2 linked regions of the Drosophila melanogaster genome follow. The protein of the gene in region 2 interacts with the protein of the main gene of each other region in a pairwise test. Each region holds a gene or a part of one and is shown on either strand. Other genes may lie near its edges. The genes, in order: DNaseII and Rrp47.

Region 1 (11,507 bases), on a different chromosome or scaffold from region 2:
CGTTTCCTAAATGCCAGCTTCCGCTGGGAGACTGCCCCGCCAACCATTCTATGTCCGCACAACGTGGGCTTTGACTCACGTACTTCAAATGCCAAACGGCCACATAAATATGTTTTTTCAATTTGCTGCAAGAAAAAGCCACGGCAGCAGTGGCAGCAGCTTTATAAAAAATGCAAAATTAAACGCAGCATGCCACACCTATATTGCCATACACATAACCCACTTGACTACTGCCCCACCAATTTAACCCAACCACATTAAACGTTCGGGCTTTAAACCACTTTTGTTCAAGGCATGGTCTGTACTTTACTTTATTGTAGGTTGTTTGAAAATCAATTTGCATATCGAGGGGTGAGCATGCCCGAGCTGCCATAAATATTATTACTAGCCAATGGAAAGTCCAACAATTTATTTAATTTTTAATAACAGAGCGTTAAAGTGAAGATTTTCTTGCCTGAATGAACTTTACGATATTATATATAGATCAAAGTATTTGACTAGATTTTATTTTAACTTTCTATCAAAGTCTATATCTAAATTAAATTGATATATTTTTTGAATTTTTTAGTTATTTTATGTTCTTTAGTCTTGAATATTTACCCTAAAAAATCAAAATAAATAGAAAGTTAGAAGCCATAAAAAGTGATTTTAAAATATTTTAGGTCCACGCATGAGTAGTTCCCAAACAACCACTTAAATAGCCAGCACCAACGAAACCAGTAGTTGGACCACTTACACTGACAAAAACTAATTGTGCCTCACACTTTGCAAATTATTTCCAGAGGAGCGGGTATGGAATCACGGCATGATTTGCTCGCTAAAAAGCTAGAGCGCGAAATGCAGCAACAGCAGACGCAAGTGCATCACCAGACGCAGCAGCAACAGCAGCAGCAGCAGCACCACCACACAGCAGCGCAGCACTACCACCACAGCCACCAGACAGCGCACCACCAGCAGCAGCAACAGCAGCACCACCAGCAGCAACAACAGCAACAGCAGCAGCAACAGCAACAGCAGGCACAGCAGCAGCACCTGAGCCACCACCACCACCACCATCATCACCATCAGCAGCAGTTCTTGATGACGCCGACAGCAACCTGACCTTATGCGACAACGACGACGACGACTACGACGCCGCCGCACCACCACCCACATCAGCTCCACCAGCCGCACCACCAACAGCAGCAGCAGCTGCAGCCGCACCACATCTACTCGTACGTGCTGCCGGCAGTCAGTCACATAGCGGCCTGAGGTGGCCACATTTGAGTTTGAGAAAATCGAGGCAAAGAAGCTCCGCATGCAACGGATTCATGCGAGAAGTAAGAACCTTTAGTTCTAGGCATACAAAAATAACAGAAAAAAAAATGTTGAAAAATCAAAAAAAAAAAACTAAAAACAAAACAAAAATGCAAAAAGAAGTTAATTTATATATATATATGACGGAGAGGAAGCAGCTGCCGCAGACCCGTGTATAACCCCAGTTTAGTGAAATTTTTCGACAGGCAACAAAAGATTTGTAGTGAAAACCAAAAAACGGGATAAACTTGTAGTAAAATATACAATTTACCATAGATCGAAAGCTGAGCGAACTACTTAACTAAGTTAGTTGCAAATACAGCCGATATGCCCCCTATAAACGAATACACATATATACATACATAAACACCTATATATACATGCATATATATATAGCAAGCTGATCGAGAATTTGTTTGTTATTCAATATCCATTTAATGTTCTTTTGTAGCTTGATAAATTGATTTTGTTTGAAGTTTTTGTTTGTGAAATGTTTGCGTTCTTTTATTGTTACTTCTTACCCTACATTCAAAACCCCCCCCCCCCCCCCAAACATAAACGACTTTTCACACAAGGAATTGAGACATGAAATTCGTATTAATCTCATAATTTCTAATTTTTCGATATATCAAACAGCGTAAGGGAATAAATTATGAACAAAAAGTGTAGGGAGAAAGAAAAGTATATAATTATAGCTTAACCGAATGTGCCCTTTAAATAGCTCTCTTTCTAGAATTATAAAAAAGTAATATGAAACAGAAAAAAAAAAACAACCAAAAGAAAACAATTTAAATGTATGCATTAATGTAATAATTGTATAACTAGTAAGGTAAATTTTCAAAATGTTACTCAACAAGAAAATTCTACAAAACAAACCACAACGAGTAGTCGACGTCATCGTATAAATTTAAATTTATATTGAGGAATACTGAAGAAAGCTGGTTTCGAAATTTATTTGTTACAAACGTAAGCATAACAAAATTTAAATGTGAATTTCAAATTTACCCGATAAGGACCTATCGACGACATGGGATGAACGTTGCACGTGCGCTGTAGTGAAGCAAAGACTCGAGAAAAAAACCGATTTTTAAGAAACAAGAAACCAGAAATGCTGAAACTGCTGGCACAGGACACTCCAAAACTTTCCGCCCAGAACTCTATGTTTTCTTTCGCCACTTTTGGTTGAGACTTTTCTGCGTTTCCCCTACAAAGACTTGAACTTTTACTAGAGGCCCCCAAATCTGCAGGACTTCATTTACATAGTGAGAAACTTTATTCCTAACCAACTTTCGAAATGCTAGAACAATCAAATCACATTTCTTGCTAAACCAACGATCGATTTAATGGGGTGGGGGAGGGGAGGTCGCAGAACGAGATCGTATGCGTAGGTATCGAATATCGGATACCGTGTGAGGGTGGGGAGAGTGCTTAAGAGGTAACAGCAAACAAGGACGAGTAAATAAAATCAATGGCATATCATCTTACGTAGCAAAGCATAAGTCGAGCATGTATGTGTGACTACAAAAAGCGACAAATTCTATTGTAACTAAATGCAAGAGCAGCAGAACAGCAGAAACCAACTATAATTAATTATTATAAAAACAATGTAAAGCTTAAAGGCTAACAACTATATATAGTTAAATACGAAAACAAATTGTAAGCAAGCTTTTTACATCATAATTTTCGAATGGTTTTCGAAAGAGTTCGTTCAGCCTTGTTTAAACCAATATAAGTATATATATATATACGGATAAAATCTTACATTTTTACCAAAGTTGTCCTTACTAATTAAACAAGTTATGTTAACCAATTCACACACAATTTGTTAAACAAAAACAGAAGGAACCCACGAGTAAATCAACTAATTTTAAACGTTTTTTAAAGCTTAGTTTAGTGTAAACGTGACTAGACATACCAAAGGCATATTTGAAACAAAAACCACAGTTGTTAGAAGGAAATATGAAACAAAAAGAGAAACATTTACTAATTGGTACTGTTTTAGCCCTTTTTCCATACAAATTTTCTTTAAATATTTAATTACATTATTTCCCCGTCTAACTTTAGTCGAATGTAAAATGCATATTCCGTCCAATTACATTTCGTGCTTTCCTCTTGCCCAAAAAAAAAAAAAAACATCATCTCTTCGCCAGCATCGCGTTGGTTTAAGAGGCATCATCATTCGGAGTTAAGAACAGAGGTCTACATATAAGTCTGTAATCCTAACATACACACACACACACACACGCACGCACACGCTCACCACAAAGACAAGTAAATTAGTTAAAGTTTTAGCGTGTAAGCAAGGAAAAATGTTTAATTATACATAATATACTAATGCATATCATTAAATTGCGCCTTTCAAAACAATTAAGAAAAACAAAATGCCCGACGATGGAAAACAAAAATATTTACAACTATAAATAAGCATAAATAACGAAACAAAAATCGATAGATGCTAAAGTACGAAACAAATATTTTCGAAATTAATTTTTAGCGCCTAAGTGTGGTCGACGAGCCCAAAAGTATGCAACAAAAGCAATGGAAGTACGCATAAGTGTGTGAGTGTGCAAAAGTGTGTGTGCGTGTGTGTGCGTGTGTGCATCTGGGAAAATCTTGTGCAATTTTCATTGAAGATAGTAAGCGATAAGAAGAGGGAAAACCAGCGCGTTGGCAAGGTTGTTCAGTCCCCACCCCCAAATAGAAAAAAAAACCATTTTGAGGCTTGATTTCCAAACATTCTTTAAGCTAAATTTCATAGCTCTATATACATCCAGATTTTACATATCTGCAGCATGCAAATATTAAACTAAAAATTGGGAATATCTCGAAAACACAACAGAAGATGAAAACCTAGCTCGTTAGGGATAAACTAGAGAATGCTAAAATGAATGACAGAAAAACTAAACTAAACAATATGAATTATGGGAACATTATATGAATATATACATACGCATATATTAAAACATTTTTGAAACAAAACGAAAACCTAATAATAATTACAAATGATGGAAAAAATAACAAATACATATCAGCAAAACGGATAAAGAAGAAAACTTTTACAAGCAACATTATTAAGGAACATAAAACCGATATGTTTTGATGTGGTTTTTAAATTTTTAAACATTGTAAGCGCAAAAAGGCAGAAAGCAGTTACCAAAAAAAAAAAATTAAGGGGGAAGCAAGCATAACTGATTGAAAGCTTAGTAATAGATTACGGAACTACTTACATAATGCCTAGCTATATGCTTACCTAGTAATGTCATATCTAAATACATATGTGGCAGCAGTAATAGCAAGACAGTAAAAGTAACAGTAAAAATAACGATAAAAATCAGTAACAGTATATATCCTACTCTATTGTATTTATTGTACGGCTATAATTTGTGTATCGAAAATCTTTGATTGATTGATTTCTATTTAGTTTAAGTTGCCTCCGAAATTGCCTTATGTTTGCCTAAAAAAAAAAATAAAACTAAAAATTTAAATTACCAACAATTTAATACTAATTTCTAAGTAATTTATATGTATATGTATGGTATACCTCTATGATAAACCCTTATATAAATATACTTATATCATTTGTGTAGCCTTAACTTAGAACTTTTCAATTGACGGTATTAATTACGCATAATAAAACTTTATATTTTGTTCGTTAAACAAACCCATTATTGTTTCACTCAGTTCCAAATCTCACACAACCAAGCGATAAACCTTTGAAGAAACGAATTTTGAATTAGTGACAATTTTTGCAAGAAAATTAAAACCAACTATACAATTACATATATTAATACCACATATATGCATCGCTCTCCCCATTTCAAGTTTTGAGTCATTTGCGGGAGAGTCAACTAGAATGGCATTGTACTCAACCTGGTAGGTCTGAGAAAATCGCTGTATATTTGTAATACTTAAATACTATGCATATCTATATCTTATACAGACAGACATATGTATAGTATCTTTAGAGGGTTAAGTAGGAAAGGTAACTGATATTGAATATTGAAAATATCAAGGCAGAGAAAGGTATCGAAATACCGGCAGATAAATGAAGATAACACAAGTCAAAACATATCAAACTCGTGCCCGATTAAAACTATATATACACATATATATACACTATATATATATATATATATATATATATATATTAATGAAAAGCAGGCGCAAATTAGGCGCAGCAAATTTCAAAAATAACAAAGAAGGAGAATGATAAAATTATTAAATATGCCGAAAGTCTAACGGGAAATGCAATTTTATTTGCATAACTCAACAGTTGAGTCTACTTTTATCCGTAAATAATACGAAAATAATGATTAATATTAATTGAGATATTAAAAGTAAAAAAAAAAAAATACAAGAAATGGCAAGTATTTGTCTATTTTGAGGCTCATTTATTTAACATTTTCGCGAAACCAAGTACGACCTTCTTTTTTCAAATCGAATAAAGATCTTTGCTAATATTGTAAAAAACAAATTGATTTTTCAAGCAAATGAAAACCAAAACGTATAGCTAAATATTATTATAAAACTTACATAAAACAGAAACAAAACTCGTATATATATATATATAAATATAAATATCAGCCTTGTTCTTTATATATATATTTGAAAAACCAAAAAAATGAAAAACCATACAAAATATTAATAAATTATTAACAACTATGAAAAAATTGATACAAAAAAAAAAAATACATAAAAAATATTTAGCGAAAATATTGTATTGTGAGTTTAAATGTATTGTTGCATACGAAACCAAAGAAATGACATAACAAATCGGTACACCTAAGTTAAATATAAATCTAAATGGCAATACCAACCGATTGGCAAAACAAAAAGAAAAAAAAACATAATATCATCTGATAATATCATATCAGATCGGATCAAAGCAGATCAGAGGAAATTCGAAACAGAATGAAAGGTGAACCATTTTTTCACAGACAGCCACCAGCGATAAGAACTAACGAAGTTGAATTCAATTAATTTACCAGACAGTTTATTTCCAATATAATTCAATATTAGCAGATGGGCTCGCCCGCCCGCAAGACAAATTATACAATTTGATAACGATAATATTTTCATGCGATCACGATCGAGGAGGAAAGCACAAACGATATGCCCTGCAATGCAAACGGGGAAAAGAGCAACAAATTGCAGTTTTCAGCAGGCGACAAATTATAATAATACAATACGAATAATAAATAAAAACTTTAACAATTGTTTTGTGTAATTGTAAAGAAGTGGAGTTCTTTTCACCGCCAGTGGGATGAATGGGATGTTTATGTGATGATGGTGAAATGGGTAAGTATTTATAATATGTTACAGATTGGACAAGATTCTTAGTAGTTTCTTATAATATCCATAAAAATGAAGTCAAACATATTTAGTAGAGTATAATATATTCGTTGTAGCCGCATTTAGTGCGCTTGGCTTATCAGCGACCTCTCTGTTCGACTGATCTTTTGCAATAAGTGGCTGACCCCTCAGATAGCAGACAACGTGGCGATAGGCTGTGTTAAAAACCCAAACACGACCAAATATTTACAAATCCAACTTTTAGATAAAACAGACAAACAGCAAGGATCTCAGTTTTCACTCGATTCAAGCGTTTTTACCTGGTGAAGAAATCGAAAAAGATTAAGATGGATTTCAATTTGCGACTGAGACACCCTGTATGAGCACAGCCGTTGATTGGATTGGATTCACTGACACTTATTTAGTTGTTTTCCGGCCGAGCAACTTGAAGGTTGTACAATGCGATCTCTGTGCTTCGTTTTGCTGTTCGTTTGGTTTTTCTACCAAAACGAAGCTAAGTCTAAGGTTTCCTGTAAGGATGAAGCTGGAAACGATGTAGATTGGTAAGTATTTCGATTAACAGATCAAACAATAAATAGTTTAGTTCTTAAAACATTACTAAATGTGCTTATTAGAAAAGTTACTTATAAATATTGGCCTTTCACATACTTTTTCATTTATCTGCAGTCGCTGTTTGCATATCATTAACAATTTGCAAACACAACGTATTTTAGTTATTTATATACACTGCTGTATTGAGATTATTCTAAAAGAGGCGATAAACAAATTGAATATGATGAGTTCAAGTTCAAGCGGAAAAATTGATAATAATTGTACAATACTGTGTGACAAGAAATTAAAAAGTAATTAGTGTGTTATTTTGTTTCCTAAAATGAGAGATTTAAATCAAAGTTGTTTGCTACAAACAAACTTAATCAATTTGATAACAATAACATCATTTTTAATACTTTTCCATTTCCAAAAATAGATTAAATGGTAATTATTTTTTTTTTTTAATATCTTAAAAACAAATTTCCAAAGATTGAGGGGTTTTCTCGATGAGATAAACATGTTTTTAATTTATTTAATAATTTTTTTTCAAATATTCCTTTATAATTTTAGGTGGCACCTTTACAAACTGCCCAAGCACTACCAGCACAACGATTTGGGCAAGGACACCAGTGGCTTGAAGTACCTGTACGTGACCAGCCAGAACTATGACACCTGGCAGATGTCGGGAAAGTTCATTAGTGATCCCCTATCGCTGCCTGCCCAGACCCTTAACCCCTTGAACGACGATCCCAGCCACACTCTGCTGGCCGCCTACAACGATCAACAGCCGAATGGCACGGTTTTCAGCAGCGGTGGTCATGCCAAAGGAGTGGTGGCCAGTGATGGGGAGACGGCTATTTGGATTGTCCACTCGGTGCCCAAATTTCCAACAATTCCGGACTACAGCTATCCCACATCCGGCGAGCAGTACGCACAGAGCATGCTCTGCGTCACACTGAAGGGCGAGGATTTGGAGAAGGTTGGTCAGATTCTGGTGTACAATGAACCGCACTTCTACTATCAACGCAACCCGCTGGCCACTCGCTCCGATGAGCTGTTCCCGAGCCTGGAAAGGGCTCTGCATGGTCAGTGGCGGACGGAATCACCGTTCCAGAAGGACTTGGAGGTGCGCAGCTTGGACGGCAAGAAGTTCCGGCTGTTTGGCAAGAGTGGACGCGCCAATGTGGAGCTGTACGCCGATGTGGTCGCACCCACTCTGGATGTCAGTCTTTTTGTGGAGGCGTGGCGCGACGGTGCCGGCAACTTACCGAATAGCTGCGATAAGTCCGATAAGGTTCTCAATGTGGAATCCATTTCCAATCCGGAGCTATCGGTGGACTTTAAGACCACACAAGATCACTCCAAGTGGGCGGTATCTCGTCCCACAGGCATTTTGATCTACCATTGGCGAGTTGGCGGCGGAGATTGGATTTGTGTGGGCGACATCAACCGGCAAGAAGGTCAGTTGCATCGTGGTGGTGGAACCGTGTGCCACAAGAGCGCCAGGGTATCCAATCTGTACCGCCAACTGGTCACCAACTACGACAAGTGCGCCCAACAGGAATAGAATCTGAACTAACTAAGACTATTTGTAAAGTTGCGTCAACAATTAAATAAACACCATTTTTGCATTACATTTAATGCATAAGAAAATTGAAAGATGTTGAAAAGAGGTATTATTTATACAAAGAACTTATTTGCATTTGTTATAGATAATATATAATAATTTAAATTTTAAATTTAAGGCGCCGTGCAACTTCTTTTCTTTTTCTTTCTGCTCTTTTCCGGACACTCGCTAGCGCCATTTCTTCAACGCACTCTTGTCGTACATTTTAGGTACTAAAAAGCGCATTGAAAACTAGGTGGCGCTCGTACTTAAACTTTTCTTAATTCTATAGCTGTTGCTAAACTATTTGCCAAAAAAAAAAAACATTGAAATATCAACAAACATGTATAAATTATTTACAAATGTGTCAATTGCATTTGGTTGCATCTAATTATTCATTTATAGCGCCACCTATCCGTCACTCTTCTACCCATTATTATCACATATACCAGAAAATGCAAATTCAGTATGACCATCAGCTGGAAAAAGAGCACAGCTGTTTACAAAAACAAAACCAAGCGAAGAAGCGAAAATTATTGGCGATTTTTAAAAATCCAAATTAAAACTAGATTCGGAGTCGGAAAACCTTCATAGATTTGGGAATGTTCTGCTGCCTACGCACCTGTCTCAATGGTGGACACATAAGGAAACCGACGGCAACCAGTCGCCTGCGGGAGCCCGATGTTCACCTGGATGCAGCGCATATGGGTAAAATTACACTAAATTCAGAAGGATTAAGATACACTATCCTTAAAATGGTCAACTGAAGCGATTGCGAGAGAACTAATGTGTTTTTCCAAAAGATATGTAGCTTCGATAATAAGTGATACCCCAATAAAGATATCAACATTCCCAATTTTATCGCACAATTCAGATACGTGATCAGATATTAATATATATGTACATACAATAGAAGTGCTTATATTCTCATTCAACAGGCTTAACCATCTTGTATCTTACTAATAATATGTATATCATATCATCCATTTGGCAGGACCTGATGTAATCCTGCTGTCACACCAACTGCGCGTAACGGGCACTGGCGGCGTCCTGGCCACGGCGCCTTTGGTCCAATCGAAGTCCTACTTCGAGGTGAAGATCCAGCACGGCGGCAGCTGGTCGGTGGGCTTGGCAACGCGTCAAACGGATCTCAGTCGCAAGAGCGGCGGCGGGGATCGAGAGTCCTGGTGCCTGTGCTCCGATAATGCCACACGCCACAATGACCGCGAGGAGTTCCGACCAGTGGTGCAGTCTGCTTGCACCACTCAGCCAGCGAGGACGAGCAATGGTATCCTGAACAATAGCGCTGCCAAAGCGGCCGGACTCATTGCCATCGAGGATTTGCAGCAGGAAGATCTGCTGATGACCACTGGAGTGGCATCATCCGATGTGGATATCGGTGATTCGTTGATAGCATCGCCACAGCGAGATTTTCCCGATGAAGGAGACATTGTGGGCGTCGCCTTTGACCACGTGGAGCTGAATTTCTACTTCAATGGAAAGAATCTGGAGGTTCCATTTCGAAATGTACGAGGAGCAGCACTATTTCCCGTCATTTATGGTGAGTTTTCGTACTCTTAAGAGAAGCTTATCACCATAATTAACCTAATTTTTTTAGTGGGCAATGGCGCCATTCTGGACATTATCTTGGATAATTTTTCACACGGACCACCACCAGGATTCGAACGCATTCTATTGGAACAGTCACTTCTTTAGATAGTCCACACAAAAGCCTTGAACAAATTAGCAGCATGAGAACAAAGCATTAACAAGAATAACTAAAAGACGGTGCATTTTAGGACTTTAGGAACGCATTTCATTCAAGTAATTTTTGTGGCACTTTCTCTGCCAATGCGGACAACTACCTTTAAAAAAAATGAAATACATTATTGTCTAGTAACACTTTATTTATTTAATGTAAAAGTTAAGTTACAAGAATGACATTTTAAATATGCATTCTAGATTAAGTTTTAAAATGCGAACTTTCAGTATAAAACAAATTATTTACACATTTTAGTTTTAGTTTTAGTTATTCCTTTGCCATATTTCTTCTCTAGTCAAAAAGAAAAGTTCCCAAGCTGAATTCTATCTCACAACCAAAACAGCTATTAAATTATTTCAATTTACTTTGTACACATATCTTAATCGATTTTGTTGATTTTCACCACATATTTACTTATAGTCGTAAAATGCACTGTTCTGTTCTCATTTAGACATCAGGTGTATAAACTTTGTAAACTCTCTAGTCCTTGCACTATCCAAACCGAAAGTATTTGTATAATTTTATTAATGTTTTGTAAATTATTTACGTAGCTTGACGTAGCATTTGTATTATACACAGAGATACGCGTATCTGCATACAGATACAGATGAATTTTTTTGTAGGACTAGGTGGCCACAATTCAATTCTGACTTCATCGTACACATTCCAATTTACAACGGCAACGTACTCGAGCACGGAATTACCTAACTAAATATAAGAATATATCTGTATATCTAATAAATTGTATCTACACGTATCCAACGCTTCGAAAACTGATTAATCCGCGCGCGGACAATAAATCAATGTTATGTACTTAATCCGTTGTGTAGCAAGTTTTCCTTGTTTAGATTGTCAATTCGATTTGATTTTAGAACATTTTGGAAAACTACATTCCCAGAGAAAGGAAATTAATGGTTAAAATTAAGATATGACACATGTCCGGAAAGGGGGAGATCATCCAGATCCACATTGGCCAGGCCGGTGTGCAGATAGCCAACG
Region 2 (11,489 bases):
AGCTGCAACCACAGCGCGAAGCTTCAAGCATGTGGACAGCGCGGAAACGGACGATGCAGCCACTAATTCAACCACCTCAACAACAATGACCACCTCCTCCGCTCCACCGCTACCGGTTAACCATCAGCAACCCACAGTATTGAAGCGCCAGAATCCCGATGCTCGGCAGCAGCAGCAACAGCAGCAGCAGCAGCAGGTGCAGCAGCGACCCCAGATAAATGGCAGTAATGCTCAACAGCCATCTAAGGCCACCTCTACGAACGTTTTGGGCAGCCACTCGAATGCACCAACCGAGGATGACTCCGGCGACGAGGTGCCGAACAATTGGAATGCCTACGGGGAGCAATTCGATGATTGCAATATATCTGCGCAAGCCGTTGACAACAAAATGAATGTCCACCTATCCCTGCAGCAGGCGAGGTTTGTTTTTGCATTAATATGACAAGTATCTCTGGATAAATATATATATCTTTTCACAGGATGCAAATGCAGCTTCAGCAGCAGCAATACTTGGATTCAAATGTTGAGGACGACCACAACTATGTGGCCGCTCATGATGAAAACAATGACAGCAGTTTTGCGACAGGAGTGCCATGCGGATCCGGGCTATCCCTCAGCCTTGACACTGATCTCGATACATCGGCCAATACTTCCGGAGGACTGAGCCATAGCTCGATCGATGGTTATACTTCATATAAGCGCGTTCGACGTTCAGAAGCATCTCTAGCACAAGCGGCCAAATGTGTTTCGAAGGGCGAGACATTCCAAACTGTCAGCAATATGTTCAATATTCCTGTCTCAACCATTCGTTTCTATATGGCGCGAAAAGGAATTCTTCCGAAGCGGAAACGTGGACGTGGTGCTTCCCATGCCGGAAACATAATAATCACAACAAACTCAGGAAAACTCTCAACCGTCCCAGCGAGCATAACTCATCCCCCAGCCCATCCGCATATCCACACCAATCCCCTTCCTCACACGCAGTCTCAGCAAATGTCCATGGACAGCCTACATCTCAAGGCGGGCATCGCAAATACCAGTGGCAGCAATAGTCCGGCAACTGCAACGGCAACGTCTATGTCACCATCATTTGATATGGCCACAACAGGTGATATTGTGCCTTTTCACCTCCATAGCGATGCGGCGGCATTCAAACTCAACGATCAGAAGCTGCACATGATCTAACCACGCAATTTGCCAAGTTGTGCTGTACTAGTAGGGCGTGTATTAATAGAGAGGGATTTCCAAGCAGTAGCTGCTTTCTTTCATTTCGGGGTACGCATCGGCTCGTGTGGGATCTTTAGTCATAACATAGTCAACAAAATACAATTTATACATAGGTTTACTTAATTACGCTTTGGAGATGCCACAGTTTTATCCTTGGTTGAAAAACTCTTGCCGTTCAATCATTATTCATTTTACTTTGGCAATCATAAGAAATTACAGTAGATGTATGCTATCAACAAGGATTATGACTAAAAACTTGCGTAAAAATTTCAATTATGTTTCTTGTCGCCCCAGTACTTTAAGGAATTACTGTATTGTTAATAAGATAAATAAAATCGACCTGGAAACTTTTACTGGGTATTCGTGTGATTGCAAAGATAAGATGAAAATTTATAATAAACTCGAAGGTCGTAAAAGACATAATCATAATGCTAACAGCTTAAACTAAATAATAATGTAAAGTAATTATTATTGGTCAAATACATCCGATCTATTTTAAAACCATGTACTTTTCCTACAAGAATACGCAAATCTTCAATACTTGCTTACAATTACTCGGTTTGTTTGTTTGCTTATTTTTTTTGGTCATTATAACAATTGGCCATAAATGCAAGAATCCCAATAATAAATTACGTTGTGAAAGTATTATTAAATACATAAGTACTGTGTACGAGATGATTGGGCAATAAAAGTTTAAATGCATTCAAAGTAACAACAATTTTTTTTTTGCTAAATTTATTATTTGAAATTTGTACTGTTACTGTCAATCATTTTTTTTTTATATTTGTACATATGTATGTAGATTAGCACAGTGCAGGCGCAGAATGTTGAAGTGGAAACGGCGCTTTTTGAATACTTCTCATAGAATCTATTTCTTTTCATGTTCAATCAACGGTCACACTGTAAGCCTAAGCCAGATATAAACATTCGCACGCGATTTTAATTCCATTTAAAGAACATGGCTCAAGAAAATCAAGCTGTCGACAATGGACTGCCCTGCAACGCTTACCTGGACACAAGCCTGCGAGAGGACGAAAACATGCAACACATCCTGAAAACCTTTTACAGCAGCATCGAACTCCTGGAAGCCGACACGGAGAAGGCACTGGCGCTACAGGCAGAACGCACATTGAACACAAATGAACAAATAAAATTGGATAGCTACCTTGTGTACTTGAACAGCACACTGTTTTTCATATACCTGAAACTGCAGGGTGAAGATGCCTCAAATGTGAGTGCAATATATACACAATACACAATTCACATGGCGACAATTATCATTTAATGATTCCATTTCAGCATGCTGTGATGCACGATTTGCGTCGTACAAGGGACCTACTTGCCCGCGATAAGAAAATAAACGATGCTCTAGCGGCGCCAAGACTGGATATGCCCGCTGCCAAGCGATTTATCGCAGCTGGAACCCACACACGATTTGTGGACATGAACGGAGTTATGGTCTCCGAAAAACAATATAATAAAAGCAAGCAAGAAACTCCCAAATAATTAAAATCACAAAGTGTTGATTCTATAGTATAGCAGCCTAAAAGGATCATTTGCCTTTGTTTCGTCGTTACGCTAGACAATGACAGTTGTATTAAAAAATGTATAGAAAACACGATATTTTCTTACTGAACCATCCAAAACACAAGCGTCACAAGCAATCGACTCATCAAAGAAGTCAAGTTAGTACACCTTAATGAAACTGGGTTTACAAACTGAAACTGTTTGTTTTTTAAATGAATATCAACAACGTTCTGTATATGAATAAACTAATCTAGGTAAAAATGAAAACGAAGAAAAATGAAATCAGAATTATTTGTATGAATATGGCAGCATTCTGCCATTTATTCTGGGCTTCCTAGATTCCAAGACCGCGTCGTAACAACGTCTTCCCCCAATGTTTATCGCCAATTTTTTGTGCATGCAGGACAAAAATGATTATATGTACCTTTTCGACGACAATTCCTTCCTGTGGATAAGGCCAGTTGGAGAGGCACAACTTTCCGAGGTGCTGGACCCTTCGCCCTTTCGAAGACTACAGCAAATCTGCGAGGCGTCCCACCCGCAGGATTCCTCGCCTTTATTGTATAAAAAGCTCCTGCGTACCGTTCGTTCGTCTAGCTCCTTGCCCCATCCTTTGTCATGCCCTTGATCAGTCAAGTCAAGACGGTATAGATTCTATCGCCAAAAGGTGCTTCAAAATCTGATACTGCTGCTTACCTCATAGATTAAGATTTTATTGTTGGGACTCGGCTTTCCAAATGATATATACAAAAACAAAAAAAAAAAAAAAAAATGTTTGGAGCAAATCCTAAAGGTGTCGTTTCTGGAGCACATTGAGTGTAAATGTCAAAAATAGTATTGAAGAAGATCAAAGTTCAAATCATTGACTAATTAAAAATAGTATTGCATAGGAACAATGTTAAAATATCGCCTACTTATTATCCAGCACTTAAACAAGATACTATATACATATGTATATATATTTTTTTAAATTTCTTTAATGCCTCTTTTAAATTAGGATATAGTTGATTAATAAATCAATATTAACAAGAGAGAATGCTATAGTCGAGTTCCCCGTCTATCAGATACCCTTTACTCAGCTAGTGCTCTATTTCTGAAAGTTACTTTTTACCTTATGTATATTACCTTATATATTTGTGATCCTGGTTTTCAGAGACATTTGACAAGTAGCGAAGGAGATGAGAAACGGATGCAGTGGTCCAACAATGGTTGGAATCGACGTGCGATTCTGGGAATCATTGCTGCGAAATATTTTTAAACTCAGCATAGAAGAAAGCCCTGGTCACCCTAATGAAGACAAATGGATGTTGTAAAGCTGGAAAATAATTTTAATTCGTACGTTTCATTCTAAATGGCTTAATTTACGGTACAATACGATATATTACTGATGTTTCAAAACCGATAAATTAACATTAGCATTGTCCTTAACTTTATGTTGATCATATTCATACTTTAACCATACAGATATTAATATTTCCGATTTATTTTTTCTCCGCTTTCATGTTTTCACGTTTTCTTGAATTACTTTAATTATTTTTTATGTATATAGCGTTTTTGTTATTCATTCCATTTGGTTTTTTTTTTCGTTTTTTGGTTTTTTGGTTTTTTGGTTTTTTCCATTTTTTAAGATTATTGAACGAGAACTGGCAATATAGCCCAAAATTTTCTATCAGTCGGTGTAAGATTGCCCCAATAAGGGGGTTTTTTAAAGCCCGGGCTGGGCCCAGTGCACAATTGTATTTTTCCTGCCGCTTATCCGTGACCATCGAAATGTTCAAGTTCTCTACACGTCCAGCAAAGGATCGTATAATTTACTAACTAGCATAAATATTAATTTTCATATTTACAGCTGCGTTTTGTGTTTATTTTTATTTTTGTCTTTTTGGTTTTGTTATTTATTCTTTTTTGTGGTTTTCTGTTTACGGTCATTGTTTTTTGTTTTTTGGTTTGTTTTGTATTTTATTTTATTTTTTTTGAAAGATTTTCCTACTCGAACATTGGCATTCCATTGCTTGGTCCGAGGTATGCAAAAAATATGTAAATATTTCCCAATTTTTAATTATTTATTTCGTTAATGCGGTTGCTGTTGTTTTCGGTTTTGGTTTTGGTTAGCTTTTGCTTTCATTTTTCGGTTTTTGTTGTCTCTCATCATTATACGTATCATTATACGATTATGAATATAAATTGGGATGCACTCACTTAATAATTGTTATTAATCTATGAATAAAGTATGGCTATTTATTTACCACTCACACATAAGAATACACATTTTTGTTGCTTGTTAAGTTTGTTTTTCCATATTCATTTCCATTTTCCCATTTTCCATTTTCCATTTTCCCATTTTCCAGTTTCCCATTTCCATCTCGCTTCAATTTGTGTGCTAACTTTTACTCCGCTCCATTTTACGTTAACTAGTTTGTTTTGTTTTGGTTTTTGTCTGCTGTCTTCACATTTACATTTATTTACTTAACTACTTAGGGCTAAATTCATTTATTTATGTGCTTATACACGAGCAACGTATTGGTAACTATGCTAAAGTAATCATAAAGGTCGATACAAATTTCATTTATTTAGAGAGAAAGCTAGCTGCGCGCTGGCTCCGGGCACATGTGAGTGGAGTGGGCGTGGCTGATTGTTGATCTATGCGCGATTTCTGATGCAGTATGGACCGCATGGATCGCATGGATCGCATGGATCATATGGACCATGAGGATGATCTTCTCTATCATATAGATAACAATATCAATGCTTATATTCCGGGTAGCAGCCATTCTCGATGATTTGTTCGGACTGACTGTTGTTGCTGCTGCTGGTATCGCCTGATTGCTGCGGATGATGATGCTGATGCGGATGCTGCTGATAAATTGGCAGCTGAAGGAGCTGCAATTGCTGCTGATGCTGACTTAGTGCCGCCGTGTCTGCCGCCGCTGCTGCTGCTGCCGCCGATTGCAAACCGCGACGAATGGGCGGCTGGATAACACTTCCACTGCTTTCCGTTTCCGTTGAGGGCGGGGATGGATAGTAGTCCCTCTGACTTACACTTATACCATTTGGGACGATTGGCAAAGCCATTATAGAACTGTTGGCCACCGATGTCGCCGCTGCCACTCCCGATCCCGATCCCGCTGCCGCTGCGGAGGATTGATGATGATCGCCGTGGTGCTGATGCGGATGCTGCTGCTGCTGCTGCTGCTGCTGCTGCTGATGCGGATGCTGCTGCTGAGCTATAGCCCCCGAAATGGGTCCGACGTCGATGTATGGTTGGGAATCCGACATTGTACCGGATGGCGGCTGGTCCAATACCACGACGGATACCACATCCTCACTCGCCCACCGGGCTAACTGTTGTTGAGCTTGAATAAAGTCATCACTAGAAAATAATAATCGTAGCAGGAACAACGGCACATGGTAAGAAATCAAACGGGGGCCATCGAGGAAGCGGATTCGGATTGGGATTGGAATCGGAATCGGAATTGGAATTGGTCTAGATGGATAAATGGTATGGTCACATGCTACGTCTAGTTCTCAATCGAGCTATTCAATTTGAATTACACATCTAAACAATCAATCAATGGGAAACTATCCATAAACTAGAAGTTACAGGCCAATTGGGTTGGGGAAACTGTGGGTGTGGAGGATCATCATATGTGGGCATAAATCAAATGCTACAAACTGCTGAGCTGGTAATAAACGATGCATCAGCAGCAGATCGTCTTGGTTCAAATGGAAGAGCTCCTGAACTGAAGGGTTCTCTGAACATTATATATTATATCTTATCATATCATATCATATCAAATATGTGATCGCTCAGCTGGCTGCATCGTTTACGTGGTCAGGATAGTGGATTATGGCCTGGCAATGGAACCAAGAGACAGTAATAGTGACTCAAACCTACCTCTCGCTATCTGGTGTCTCGTGGCAGTCGAGTCGAGCGTCGACCACCTGGCGTTCGTGGTGGTCAGCGGTCTCGTAGATGCCCTCGTCCTCCTGCTGCAAATGGGTGTGCGATGAGTGATGGGACGAGTGTGGACCGTGCGTGGCATGTCCATGGGCATGGGAGTGGTGCGTATGATGTCCGAATGCGTGGGGTGAGTGCGACTGGTGCGGCGCATGGCGTCCAGATGATGCCGGCTGTCGGTAGCGTCCACCGAATGTGAATCGGGACTCCTCATCGGAACGGGGACGACAGCTTCTGCTGTAAGACGCATGAATTGTAGCGGTTTTCTGAGATTGTGGTATTTGCTGATTGGAGCTATAGGCGATAAGGATAAGAAAAAAAAGGCAAGCAAATAATCAAATTATTCAGTGGCATGGGAGTTTATGGATTTGCTGCTTTTCGGACTTGGGACTTGGGATTTTTTTTTTTTTTTTTTTTTTTTTTTTTTTTTTTTTTTTGGAAATTTATTGAATTATTATGGTTCTGCTATGTAGAAACGATAGGCAAACGAGATTTGGACTGAGCCTGAAACCGAGACCAAAACAGAGACCGATAGCCATGAGGAGAACTTAAGAGCAATGTCAAACGCATCTATTACAATGCAAATTGTTGTTGTTGTTGTTGTTGTTTTAGTTGTTGTCGTTGTTGTTGTTGTTGTTTAAAAAGAGATGTGCAAGTGATTACGTAATAGTAAATAGGAAAACGATGTGAAGTCAAGACCCTTAAGAAATAAGATCACAAGATCAAGATGGTAGTAAGTTACATAAGTTAGCTAGTTAGAGGGGCAACCAACCTTTATCACACAAGGTATTCCAGCCTGAAGCCTGCAAGAAATGCGAATATAAATTGGCATTGGCTTGAATTACATTTTAATATACTGCAGTTACAAACAAGCAGTGGCTTTCATGCCTTAATGGTAGTAGGTTAGGTCAGTAGTTTTCGATTTTAAAATAACATCATGAGTGGTTTATATATGCTTTTTGATGAGTATATGAGGCTTTAGTCTTCGGTTAGTTGTTTGTATGAACATGTGGAGATACTCTCAAGCCATCGAATATATTATATTGGGTTATTAATCACTTGCTCTACGATTTAGTTTAGTAGTGGGTAAATTGGAAATTTTGGTATCACATAGATTGACTATTGGAAACTTAAAACGCGTTGACTATTAAGAATACGGTTGGTTAATGGGAAGCAACTGTTCACTGCCTACGTTCATTACCATGTTACAAAGCGCAATACAGATAGTAGGTGTTAAAAACATCTAAGAAATTATGAATTATATATTCATAGTCACAGCAGTTAGTCATTTTATATGTTGAAGTGTGTTTAAAGCGAATGTGCGATTTCTCGATATTTTAATATCTCGATTGCTCGATTAGTTCGATTGGTTCGATCGATTGTTTGATGTGGACGAGACAAGGACAAGACAAGGACAAGACAATACAAGACAGGACGAGACAAGACAGAACAGAACAGAAGAGAAGAGAAGAGAACAGGACAGGCTTTTCGGGTGTCTGACTGACTCGGTGCCAATACTTAAAGAGGTTTACGGTGATTAAGTTCTGAAGCAGAAAATAACACTAACCCTTGAGATGACTCACTACAAGCCGCGGAACTTTCTAATCTATAGTGTCGATCGGCCTCTGTTTCCGACATTCGTATATCCTCGGATCCGCTGGGACTCATGTGACGGGACGAGTGGTGCTCTAGCTGCCTGATCAGGTCCTCCAGATTGCGTATACGCAGTGGTCCCGTCGACGGTGCATCATCGTCATCCAGCTGCTGCGGCTGCAGCGCCACCGTCGACGGCTGATGCAATTGATGCTGGGATCGATGATGGTGCAGCATGGTGCCGCCATGGCCCGGCATGCCACCCGACATGGATGTCGATCCGCCGCCGGCTCCCACGCTCGAGCCCAGTCCCATGCCGCCGAGTCCGCCGCCGCTGCCATCGAGGATGATCGCATGGACGGCGGCATTGTCGCAGATGTTCTCACGCGAACTGGACTTGGAACCAATGTTACGCTTGTACTGCTCCGCCGAATAGCCCAGCTGGGAATTGTTGCAGTCCTGCAGCGTCTTGCGCAGCATCTCCTCGCTCAGGCTGCCGCTGCCGACGGGCGTGTTTCCGGTTCCGGTTCCCCGATGCGTGGCCGCATTCCGTAGCGCCTCCAAAATGTCCTCATGATACCCATTAAGGGATTTAAGCGTCCGCTCCACCTCGGAGGCAGCCGCACCGCCGCTCGTCGACGCCAGGGTGCCGTCTTGGGTAATAAGCTCGAGGTTATCGGACTGATTGTCATCGCCCCATTTGTCTTTTAGCTGCTCACCGTGCACCAGACCGTAGCCGTGCTTCTTTAATATACCCTTCTCTGTGGCAGCCAATAATAATGCATTAGGTTTGTCGTTAGTATTTAGTTCCAATGTGCATGTAAAGGGAATATAGTACAAATTTTTCAGGTAGAGAATAGGCGCGTGACTGCAAAACAGCGATTATAGTGGGTTTGTCTTATGTGTATATACGTACGTATACTTAATTTGCACAAGAAATGTGTACCTACACATGTACATATTGTATGTATTGTAGTTATTCACTTGAACTCTGTTCGTTTGGCTAATTTCTTATGCAATTTCCATAGAGCAATTAGTTTATACTTGTGAATAGTCTTTGTCGCTTTGCAAAAAGATTCCCGATTCTTGGTCAATTGTGTGTGTGTGTGTGTGTGTGTTGTGTGCGTGTTCGTTGTAGTAAACCCTATTAAGTTTATATATTACTGATCACCATTATCATGCGAGTCGATGCAAAGTTACATAAAAATAGGTCAAATATGCTTTGGGTAACTATTTTTCAGAATTGAAAAGGGGGTAAACAATAATACTGATCAAAAGCTACTAGTTTTCTTTAAAACTATAATTTTATAATATCTTTAAAAAACAAACAGTGATATTAACATTTGAAATCCTAACACTTTCATACTTTGTTGCCTAGCTTTCGGCGTTTATACGGACGAACAGGCTGGTTTTTATACGGACAGATGCTGATCAAGAATATATATATGTACATAAAGAAGGGTCGGAAAAGTTATTATGTACTTTGTACATATTCTTCAAAGTAATATTTAAAAAGTAATTATTGAACATAAGCTTTCGATGGGTTGTGTTCCGTTGACATCAAAAGAACATAAAGTAAATAAATAAAATGCCCTTTGAATAATGTTAAAGTTACTATAATTATATCTTTATTAACGTAAATATCAAAACAGGGTATTAAAATGCCAACACAAAAGATATGTAGACAATGCTTTTCAGCCCTTTTTAGATAATTTCAATAAGATACTTAACAAGATCGACTTGGATGTTGATTCTGATCCCATATATAAATACAATAGGGTCGGAAGGGTTTTTAAAAACCTCTTTGACAAAGATTATACATATAGAATGAATTGAATTAAGCTTAAGATTCTTGAGGAAGCCCACAAATAGTTGACTAATTTTTCTCACTAAAGCTCCGACAAAAACAAAGATGAAAACTCGGGTCGCTTAAAAAGGGCATAAGAAGCTTGCTGGGAATGTGTACGTATGTATAGATAAACAACATATATGTTTGCTGAAAATAAACTTATGATTGCTATTCAATAGAGTATTAATGTCAAACAGTAACTGCAATAATAGAAGCTCTGAAGAGTACAAGCATTAAACGATTAATCAAGAGTTAGTCTATTCAAATTTAGCTCGTTAACATGGAAGGCATCTAAACTGTTAAGCGGGAAACACAAAGGAACACAAATTTATTGCAAACCGTTCTTTCATTAATATACGATTACTTAGTTTTTAGGGGGGAAATTCCCGTTCACTGTATCATGTGCAAGAACTGATGTTATCCCTAATTTCCATGAATATGTGTAAGAAATGTTGCTTTAATACCTAATGTGTCCCCTACAAGATTTAGAATATTGTTTTTTGGAAAATGAAAACTTTTCGAGGCCATAGAACGAGAACCTCCCCTAAAATACGATTACAAAAAAGTCAAAATCAGGGATTTCACTGAAATCTCAAGAGAAATAGAAAACCTCTTAAAAATCCTTTGGTGTTTCAGAGATCTGTACAGTTGTATTTTTAAATGGAATATATATTGCATTTGTATATATTATTGTATATTATATTATATTTTCGATTTCTGTGACACCGTTTTGGGACTTTTAGTCGAAATTCGAATCTGAGAGGTTTCGGTGACACCCCTTAGCCACTTTGTTTGTGAATCTAATCTAAGCACAAGTTATGTAATAATTGTAAACATAATGTATTAACCTGCATGTGACTGATCGTCCTCGCCACATGTCGTGTAGCGTCGTCCATGGATTCCCTTGTCCCTGTGAAGGATAATAATAATGAAATTGGGGCATATCATAAGATCGGTTGGTAAAGAGGAACCGAGCTACTTGCGGCGATGCTAAACGATGAATCAGCCAGCAGCTTTCAAATAGTTTTATCAAATGGTACAATCTTTAATAAGAAGATCTTAGCCCAATGATATATATTGGCAGTAAAGATCAAAGATCAAAGATCTTGTAAGCGATGCATTCAGCTTGCAAGTTTGCTGATGCATCGTTTATCATAGAAATTTCAAGATATGATGGCTGTTAACGAGTTATCACATGATCAAGTGACTGCTGCATCGTTTACAACCCAATTGTGATTGTTGTCCTTTTGAGGATACACACCTGAAGCCAGTCTGATTGGCATAGACTAACTTGCTGGATCCGTCCAAGGAGACCTCCTCCACGGAATGATGATT

The links.
Region 1: the proteins of Rrp47 (region 2) and DNaseII interact in a two-hybrid assay, tested with the Drosophila melanogaster proteins (one large-scale study listed by BioGRID).

What each region holds. Positions count from the first base shown.
Region 1 is NT_033777.3:18,012,366-18,023,872, forward strand, and holds DNaseII (deoxyribonuclease II), read left to right. Parts: upstream 1-7,009; 5' UTR 7,010-7,047; coding exon 7,048-7,151; intron 7,152-7,710; coding exon 7,711-8,707; 3' UTR 8,708-8,796; downstream 8,797-11,507. Other genes in the region: CG7785 (uncharacterized protein), read left to right, coding at 9,349-9,454, 9,741-10,307, 10,365-10,462; CG7794 (uncharacterized protein), read left to right, coding at 11,444-11,507.
Region 2 is NC_004354.4:15,942,871-15,954,359, forward strand, and holds Rrp47 (ribosomal RNA processing 47), read left to right. Parts: upstream 1-2,026; 5' UTR 2,027-2,185; coding exon 2,186-2,458; intron 2,459-2,526; coding exon 2,527-2,733; 3' UTR 2,734-3,379; downstream 3,380-11,489. Other genes in the region: CG8924 (uncharacterized protein), read left to right, coding at 1-420, 480-1,185; mmd (mind-meld), read right to left, coding at 5,497-6,124, 6,650-7,006, 8,280-9,066, 11,003-11,064, 11,416-11,489.